Linked DNA regions of Ovis aries. The protein of the gene in region 2 purifies or fractionates together with the protein of the main gene of each other region. This does not show direct contact. Links are inferred from orthologs where the notes say so. Each region holds a gene or a part of one and is shown on either strand. Other genes may lie near its edges. The genes, in order: cytochrome c oxidase subunit 6B1 and cytochrome b-c1 complex subunit 7.

Region 1 (4,484 bases), on a different chromosome or scaffold from region 2:
TCTGTGAAGAAAAGGGATCAGGGTCAGCCCAGACCAAGAGCTGGAACATATTTCTGATCAAAACTCACAGAAATACTTTTTACTTCACAACCAGTTACACGAATCCCCCACACTCCCAAGTTTCACAAAGAAAGTATATCCTTACAAGTGTAGTACTAAAAAGGGCTAGACACACCACACTAAGCTTATTTTGCAATCCATAAAGTACTACTGTCTGGGACTTCCCTGGTGTTAGGAATCCACCTTCCATTCATTACAGGGGACCTGGGTTCATGCCCCGGTGGAGGAACTAAGATCCCACAGGGTAACGAAGCCTAGCCTGTGCACCACAAAGGAGACCCGGAGTAGCCAAGAAAAAAAAGAAAAAGAACTACTGTTCAACTTGGAACTTCTGAGTCAGGAATAACAGGGCAACCTGAGAGGTGTGTGTAGGGATTATGGAAGTCCTGAACCAGGACAAGGGAAGGGCAAGATGGTCTTGATGCTAAGATGCTGGCATCCAGGAGAGGAGAAAGGAGGGGGATAATCTGGTTTTTAATAGTAGGAAATTAATTCAAAGATTATTCCAAGTATTACACTCCTGGGCACACTCCCTAAGAGAGAAAGCATTCACAAAGACATCAAATTACATCAATCATAGCAGCATCATTCATATGAGCCCCAAACTGGAAACCACACCAGTGTTCATGAATGAAATGTTGGAAAACTGCACACAATAAAAATGAGAAAAATATATGCCACAGCATGGAAGAATCTTCATAACTATTGAATGAAGAAATCCAAGCATAAGACAACACACAGTATTTCTAAAGTTCACAAAGAGGCAGACCTGAAAGTGGTGATAAAACCAAAATATGACTGCCCTAGGTCTGTGGGGTTACAACTCTGGTGGGGAGAGCAGAGTGTTGCTTTCAAGAGACGGCATGCAGCAGACAGGGGAGCTCAGGGGACTGGCAGTATCCCATTTTCTATCCAGATTATAATCACATGGAGGATTCAATTTAGAGTTATTGATTTAGCTGTACATTATGGTTTATGTACTTCCTATAAGCATGTTACATTCCATACAGATAGACATATACACATCTTGGGGGGGGAAATGACTATGGAATCCAAAGTTTGTGACCTTAGGTCAAATCTTGAATACAGGAGGTGATGGGTGGCATGGGCCCCGTGAAGTAGGATGTTCAGAATTAAAGAGAAGAGGCGATGAGGAGGTAAGAGGTAAGTGTGGGATCAGGGGAAGGTCAACATTGCCCGCCTCCTCCCCAAGTCCTGCTCACCCAGGTAGTTCTGCCAGCAGTTCCTGGTCTGGTTCTGGTTGGGGAAGCGGCTGTCAAAAGGAGCAGTCTGGTAGTTCTTGATTTTGGTCTGGATGTCTTCTGCCATAGTGTCAGCACTCCTGGAGGGAAACAGAGTGGATTGTGGCAGAGGTCCTGGGGGCCTGGACAGGGGGCTGTCAGCCCACCCAGGCCCAGTGGAGACCTGACAGAGAAGAATGGGCTGGGTGTGAACAAGCCAATACCCCCTCCCTTTCAACATACAGATAGAGGTGAAGGGCTGGGCAAGAACACATTAGTTATGGAAGTCACAGCAGGATGTGTCGGGGTAGACAACTGCTCGGTAAAAAAAAAAACAGGCCAAAATAACACTAGTTGATATTCACTGAGTGCTTATTATAGGCAAGGAAGCTTTACTCCTAAAGCTACTCTAAAAGACAGGAACTATTACTATCACTGCTTCACAGACAAGAGACAGGGTGTTTAAGCAACTTCCCAAGGTCATACAGCACACATGGAGTGGAGGTGCACTCCCACCACTAACATAACCTACACTGCAAAGGTTCTTAATCTCTATTGGTGCCATGAAGTACTCAGGAGTCTAATGAACCCTTTCTCCAAATATGTTTCAGGGCATTTAAAAATGGCACAGGATCACAAAGAAAACCAATTACATGTAGCTGAGGATTTATGAACTACCACAATTTCAAAATAATCACGCCTGAATAGGGTCATGCTGTGAAATCTGCAAACATAATGGGATATATGATATGATGACCTGTCATTTTCACTGCTGATAAAGTCACAGATGATGCCAAATACTACCGCTACTGCCTCCATTCCCAAGCGAAGGAAGAGAGTTCAATGAGAAACTGGCAAAAATACAGACGTAAATTTCCCTCCATTCACGTACTAGCATCCCATGAGTTCCATCCATTCTGCGGGCCTAGGGATAAAAACCTGTCCCATAATCTTTTATGAGGTGACAAACGGTTTTCATTAGGAAATCTGACACCGCCTCTATTCCAGATTATTCGAGGAGTCGTGGTATTACATATAAGTTAACCAGACCAGTAATAAATTCAAGTGACCCAAGGTAGTGGTAAGGATTTGGGGCACCGGAGTAGTGTCTTTCCGGGAGCAGAGGATGTAGAACACTAGAGGCGGGGACAGACTCGGTCGGAAGAGTTGTTTTGAAAGCCATCTCCACCTGATTTCGGGAGTAAGGATGGACTGGGGATGACGCTGCAGCCCCTCGAACGTGCAAGGGGCAGGGGGTGAGGGTGGAGAGTCACCAAGAAGCCAGGCCAGCCAAGCCTCGGGGGTCAGAGACCGGGGAGAGAAACGCCTGCGGCCTGGTGATTAAGAGCAATGCAGTCCTAATGATTTCAAATCCTGATCGCTAGCTAAACTGCGTAGTATCTAAGCCTCAGTTGCCTCCTAAAAGAGATAATCACAGGCCCTATCTCAGAGAGTTGGAGGGAAGCTTAAATGAATCAATATAAATCGCTTTGAAAGTTCTAGACATCCGAGAAGAACCAAATAATCGTCAGATTGAAACGACCCCAGGGCTCCGGGAGGTCAGCCACCGCAGGCTGGAAACCTCATTTCATTTTCTAGTAGGGATCCTCAGTCCTCCAAGATGGGGTTCCAGGGTCCCAAGCCCTCAACACTCACCTAAAGATGCCCCTGAAGTCGCTGGAAGCTCAATGTGACCCTCAGCAAAGACGCCAGTACCGGACCGGAAGCGGAAAAAAGGTCGGCCGGAAGCGGGACGGAGCAACGCACAGAAGAGTCTTCCGCACGGCCAGAGCGCCGTCCCTGAAGCAGTTCGGGCCACGCCCATATTGCAAATTCCAACCTCCTATTGGGCCGAATGCCTGTTCATCCTCATTCTGGGCCCAATCGTAACCTTGCGTGGCACTTGTTAGGTACCTTTCCGAGCTGTTGCAAGCTGTGGGCTCCGTTCCAAGGTATTGACCCGGCCTGGTCAGCTCTCTGTCTTTAATAGAGAAAGGGGTTCTGGTTCCTGGAGTTGGCTGTTGAGTGGTCCTGCGGAAAATAGTCCAGCAGAAATGCTCTTATTTGTGCAAGAATTATTTATTGAATATTTTACCCAGTGCCAGGTGCTTCTATTGGTGGCTCGGAGGTTAAAGCGTCTGCCTCCAGTGCGGGAGACCCGGGTTCGATCCCTGGGTCAGGATGATCCCCTGGAGAAGGAAATGGTAACCCACTCCAGTATTCTTGCCTGGAGAATCCCATGGACGGAGAAGCCTGGTAGGCTACAGTCCGCGGGGTTGCAAGGAGTCGGACACGACTGAGCGACTTCACTTCAAGCATAGTTGAACTAAACACAAAAATCTCTGTGACTATTATGGGGCCAATTGTTAGTATGAAAGTGAAAGTGGCTCAGTCGTGTCCAACTCTTTGCGACCCCATGGACTTTCCATGGAATTCTCTAGGCCAGAATACTGGAGTGGGTAGCCTTTCCCTTCTCCAGGGGATCTTCCTGACCCAGGAATCGACTGTTGTCTCCTGCATTGCAGGCGGATTCTTTACCAACTGAGCTATCAGGGAATCCCAATTGGTAGTTTCAGTTCAGTTCAGTCGCTCCGTCGTGTCCGACTCTTTGCGACCCCATGAATCGCAGCACGCCAGGCCTCCCTGTCCATCACCAACTCCCGGAGTTCACTCAAACTCACGTCCATCGAGTCGGTGATGCGATCCAGCCATCTCATCCTCTGTTGTCCCTTTCTCCTCCTGCCCCCAATCCCTCCCAGCATCAGAGTCTTTTCCAGTGAGTCAACCCTTCTCATGAGGTGGCCAAAGTACTGGAGTTTCAGCTTCAGCATCATTCCTTCCAAAGAACACCCAGGACCGATCTCCTTTAGAATGGATTGGTTGGATCTCTTTGCAGTCCAAGGGACTCTCAAGAGTCTTCTCCAACACCACAGTTCAAAAGCATCAATTCTTCGGTGCTCAGCTTTCTTCACAGTCCAACTCTCACACCCATACATGACTACTGGAAAAACCATAGCCTTGACTAGAAGGACCTTTGTTGGCAAAGTAATATCTCTGCTTTTCAATATGCTATCTAGGTTGGTCATAACCCTCCTTCCAAGGAGTAAGCATCTTTTAATTTCATGGCTGCAATCACTGTCTGCCATGATTTTAGTGCCCCCCAAAATAAAGTCTGACACTGTT
Region 2 (4,553 bases):
TCATGTCCACCTCATACATTTGGGACAATTCCATCCCTCTCTTCTCAATAATAAAAAGGAAATGGATTTAACAATAAAATGACTTAATTTTAAAATTTAAGGTACACAGGTACGAATAGTTCATGTATTCTGAGGATCCATACTAACTCCTACAAAAGCACTATACTCAGAAGAAGAAGAAAACAAAATAAGAAGCACAAATACTCACCCAGTTTATTGAACCCGGCAGCGTTGTAATACCATTTTCGAATACCCTCCAGCCACTTGCTTGATGCTGAAACTGATAAGTCAGACTATTAATTGCTAATAATCCTACTTCCTATGCAAACACAGGAAGGAATTTCTTTTAAAAGCATATACTCTATATATTGTAGGTAAAAACTGCTTACCTTGTCTATCAACAAAAGTGACTGCAGGTAAAAACTGGACAGTAAGGAAAAAGGATAAACTCAAACACCTGAAAGACCTATAGGTATGATTACAGTCCCTCACTATCTGCAAGGGACTGATTTCAGGATCCCCCTCAGATACCAAACTCCAAGAGGCTCAAGTCTCCCATATAAAACAGTACAGTGTTTGCATATAATCCAAGCATGTTTTCCTATTTTAAATTTTCTCTGGGCTGTGCTTAGTTGCTCAGTTGTGTATGACTCTTTGCAACCCTATATGGATTGTAGCCCGCCAGGCTCCTCTGTCCCTCAGATTTTCCAGGAAAGAATACTGGAGGGGTTTGCCATTTCCTCCTCCAGGCAATCTTCCCAACCCAGGGATCAAACCCACATCTCTTGAGTCTCCAGAGGGATTCTTTACTACCACTGCCACCTTAATACAATGTAAGAGCGATGTAAATAGGAGTAAATACAAAATAAATGCTATATAAATAGATGGCTGAGAGCAGCAAGTTCAAGTTTTGTTTTTTTTGAACTTTGTGAAATTTTTTCTTCAAAATATTTTCCATCAGGAGGTTGGCTGAATTCTCCAGTGTGGAACCAGTGGATACAGAGGGCCAACTGTACTGCCACTCCAGCTTTTCAAAGTCAAGCATCCCATTCCATCATGTCCCCTTGCTGCTGTTAGAATTAAAGGAGTGGGGGACGGAAAAGAAACTCCATCATTTGCAATTTCAGAAACAGGTTACAGGAAATAACTCTTTTAATAACTTTTCAAGGGAGCTGGAGTTGTATGAAAAGATGAGATTTCAGGATACACTAGCAGATTAAATGACCCCCATCTTCCAAAACTTTTATTTTACATTACTTTTATTTCACTTGGCTACTCTCTTTAAAAATGTATGTATTTCTGGGAGGGTTTTGATCCCATATGGACTAGTAAAAAAAGCACATTTCCCTCTTCCCCAGCAGCTAACTTTCCTTGGAGGGAATGAATATTTCAAAGCGTATGAGGAGAAACAGGTAATGTTAAAACTCTTTCCGAAACAGAACTGAGCTTGATGGGTTACCCAGTAGGAGTTAAAGGCAACATGACAGTGTCTGATGTTTACAGGAGAGATGTGGTACAGAGAGGGAGGTATGGAAAGTTTAAATTTTCTTTTAAAATTTTGTCTTAGGGATAGTCCCTAACCAAGGAAGGAAAACAAACTCTCTTTTGATTCAACCTCTTAGACATCACAGCTTTGGTAACTCTCTTTGGAAATTAAGCACCAGGTGTATAATGTTGCTTCTAAAATAACAACAAATCGTCAACAATCTACAGACACATTTGTAGGAGAGAATTACTTGAAAACATATTTACCAGTGATGGTAATAATGTTTAATATCCACTGAACACTTACTGTGTGCCAGGCACTATTCTATTTGTTTTACTCCCATGCCTGAGTTACTTACAACCCGCAAGTCCTTGCAAAAGAGCAATAAGTATTACATGAATTATCCCATCCAAGATCAGAGGCAGCCAGTGATGGAGCTGAGGCCAGGTCTATGTAGTTTGCAAACACAGCACTGAAGCACAATGTCTTCAGTAGTTGTCTAGTTAAGGAAATAATGAATTTTTAAATGTCTCCGCCACTCCCCAAAAGCTCAATGTCATTTAGGTTAACGAATTGTTCTGGCAATCTGGTGTTTCCTAATAGCTTCACAACTGTTGGGGGTACCGAAATAGGGAACAACGTTTTTTAAAAAAGCTAGGAGGTATGTGTGTGTTCACTCGCCTGCGACTCTGCGACCCCATGGACTGTAGCCCATCAGCCTCCACTGTCTATGAAATTTTTCAGGCAATACTGAAGAGGGTTGCCATTTCCTACTCCACAGGATCTTTCCCCACCCGGGGTTCCAACCCGCGTCTCCTGCACTGGCAGGCGGGTTAGGGACTGACAAAAAAGGGGGGGTGGGGAAGGAGCGGGGAGAGGACTGTATTTTTTCACGTTGTTTAAATATTCCAGTAATATCTGCGTTCTATTCCATAATAAACACATCTGTTCCAATACCTAGAATAGATGCAAATGTCTCCAAATCCAAAGACCAAGTGGATGTTCCAGATAAGCCAAGGTTATTAAACTGAAGCTTCGCCGTAACCCTCACTCACTCAGCTGCCTCTAAATTCCGTTTGAGAAGCGCGAGAGAGGTTCAGCGAGGCTTCCAATCCTGTTTCCTCCGGCCACTTCGCCTCAGTTATTTTACCGCCTACAAGGAAAACTGACACTGTCCTCCTCGCGCTGACAGAACGGACCTAGCTAACGCACACGACAGCGCCTGGCTCACAGTAAACGCTCGGTTCACTTCGGTTGAGAGCCACTATCTCCTGGTGCCCTTGAACTTCTTCTAAGGTCGAGAGGAGAAGGGCTCAGAGCTCGAGCATCCGGAGCGCCAGGGCTATGGGGGCCACCGCGGACAACTTCACCAACAGCCGGCCCTGGAGACGGAATGGGGGTGGGCCCAAGGTGGGCTGGAGCCGCCTCCTTCCCTCCCGCCATAAACCTGCCCTTTTAGACCGAGCACAGGGAGAGGAGCAAGTTGCTGCAAGTATAAAAGGTTCAGCGCAGCGATGCCCGCCAGGCAGGCCGCCCGTGACTTACCAGCTGGCCGGCCCGCCATGTTGACCTGACACAGAAGCGTTGCCTCCTGGGTAAGTCCTAGAGGTCGAGCAGGGCCCAGGGCGCAGGCGCGTTGCGTCACGTCGTGCGGCGCGTAGGGCGGGGAGACGCTCGCGCAGGCGCAGTTCTGGCGGCCAGCCTTTGGCCTCTGAGGACGTACACCTGTCGGTCACGATTATGCTAATCTCGTAGGCGTGGAACCGCGACACGTTCCCTGCGACAAGGTGGGAAAAAACATTAGGCGAGGAATTAGAACTAGAGAAGGAAATGGCAACCTGCTCCAGTATTCTCGCTTAAAGAATCCCATGGACAGAGGTCCATAGGATCGCAAAGAGTCGGACAAGACTGAAGCGATTTAGCACGTACGCAGGCAAGGAATTAGAACACCAGATCTTTAGCCTGGCTTCTGTTAGTGACGATCTCTGAGAGGTTGGGCAGTAATAACTGCGCCCTTTGTGTCAAGCAACACGCTAAGCGTTTTATGGACTTATTTTAATTTCATTCTAAACCTATAAGATAAATACGGTGATTGTACCCATTTTAGAGAAGAGGAAACTGAAGCTCTGAAAGGTTGCGTAAATTGTCTAAGGGCACTTAAACTAGGAGGAATCCAGATTCACCTTCCAGAATCTGAGACTCTAGATAAAATGTCGTTCAGTTGCTAAATCCTGACTCTTTTGCAACCCCATGGGCTAAAGCCCAGTCAGGCTCCTCTGTGCCTGGAAGTTCCCAGGCAAGAATACTGGAATGGGTTGCCATTTCCTTCTCCACAGGATTTTCTTGACCCAGGGATCGAACCTGTGTCTCCTGCATTGGCAGCCAGATTCTCTACCACTGAGCCACCAGGGAAGCCCCAAAGATACAACTTTGGCACTCCGCGATCCTAGGGCCATATGCTACACCACTGACCCAGGGGAAACTAACCCTCTCTCACCTTCAGTTTCTCCAGGTGAAGTTCTACATCAAGCCATTTCAGTGATAGTCTTGTTGAGAAGAACAATTTAATACTAAATTTGAACTGTAGCAGAATTTTAATGCAATTTTAAGGTAAAAGTACATTTTAAAGGTTTCAGTCCAACTTAAGTCTAAAGTGTAAAAAACTAGGGACAGCAGGATCACAAATTGTTGAGGTAGAAGAATTTTACTTAAGGTTGCAGAACAGAATAGTTGGTTAATTTGTGGGTGAGACAGGCCCAGGGGACAAGTCAGACCATCTCTTTACACCTTTTATCAAAATAAACTCCAGGTGTATTAAAGAGATTTAAAAGTATTAAAACAACAACAACAACAAAATACCCTAGAGACAAAACAGTCGGGTTTGTTTACGATGTTTGATGCTTACTGAGTTACTGATGAACTTCTGCACCAATACTGTCTTGGGCTGCTCAGTGTATGGTAACAAATCATAGACTGGGTAGCTTAAAAAACAAATTTACTTTCTTACAGTTCTTTCCAGTTAGAAGCATAAGATGAAGGCACCAGAATGGTCAGTTTCAGTTGAGAG

The links.
Region 1: the proteins of cytochrome b-c1 complex subunit 7 (region 2) and cytochrome c oxidase subunit 6B1 purify together in Homo sapiens (affinity purification with mass spectrometry; 3 studies listed by BioGRID and IntAct, counting the BioPlex papers as one, with this or other methods). This does not show direct contact. The link is inferred for Ovis aries from reciprocal best matches to the Homo sapiens genes UQCRB and COX6B1.

What each region holds. Positions count from the first base shown.
Region 1 is NC_056067.1:45,681,595-45,686,078, reverse strand, and holds the start of cytochrome c oxidase subunit 6B1, read right to left. Parts: upstream 3,030-4,484; 5' UTR 2,958-3,029; intron 1,403-2,957; 5' UTR 1,390-1,402; coding exon 1,284-1,389; intron 2-1,283; coding exon 1-1. UniProt on the Homo sapiens protein: Component of the cytochrome c oxidase, the last enzyme in the mitochondrial electron transport chain which drives oxidative phosphorylation.
Region 2 is NC_056062.1:80,894,328-80,898,880, reverse strand, and holds the start of cytochrome b-c1 complex subunit 7, read right to left. Parts: upstream 3,064-4,553; 5' UTR 3,051-3,063; coding exon 3,032-3,050; intron 281-3,031; coding exon 209-280; intron 1-208. UniProt on the Homo sapiens protein: Component of the ubiquinol-cytochrome c oxidoreductase, a multisubunit transmembrane complex that is part of the mitochondrial electron transport chain which drives oxidative phosphorylation.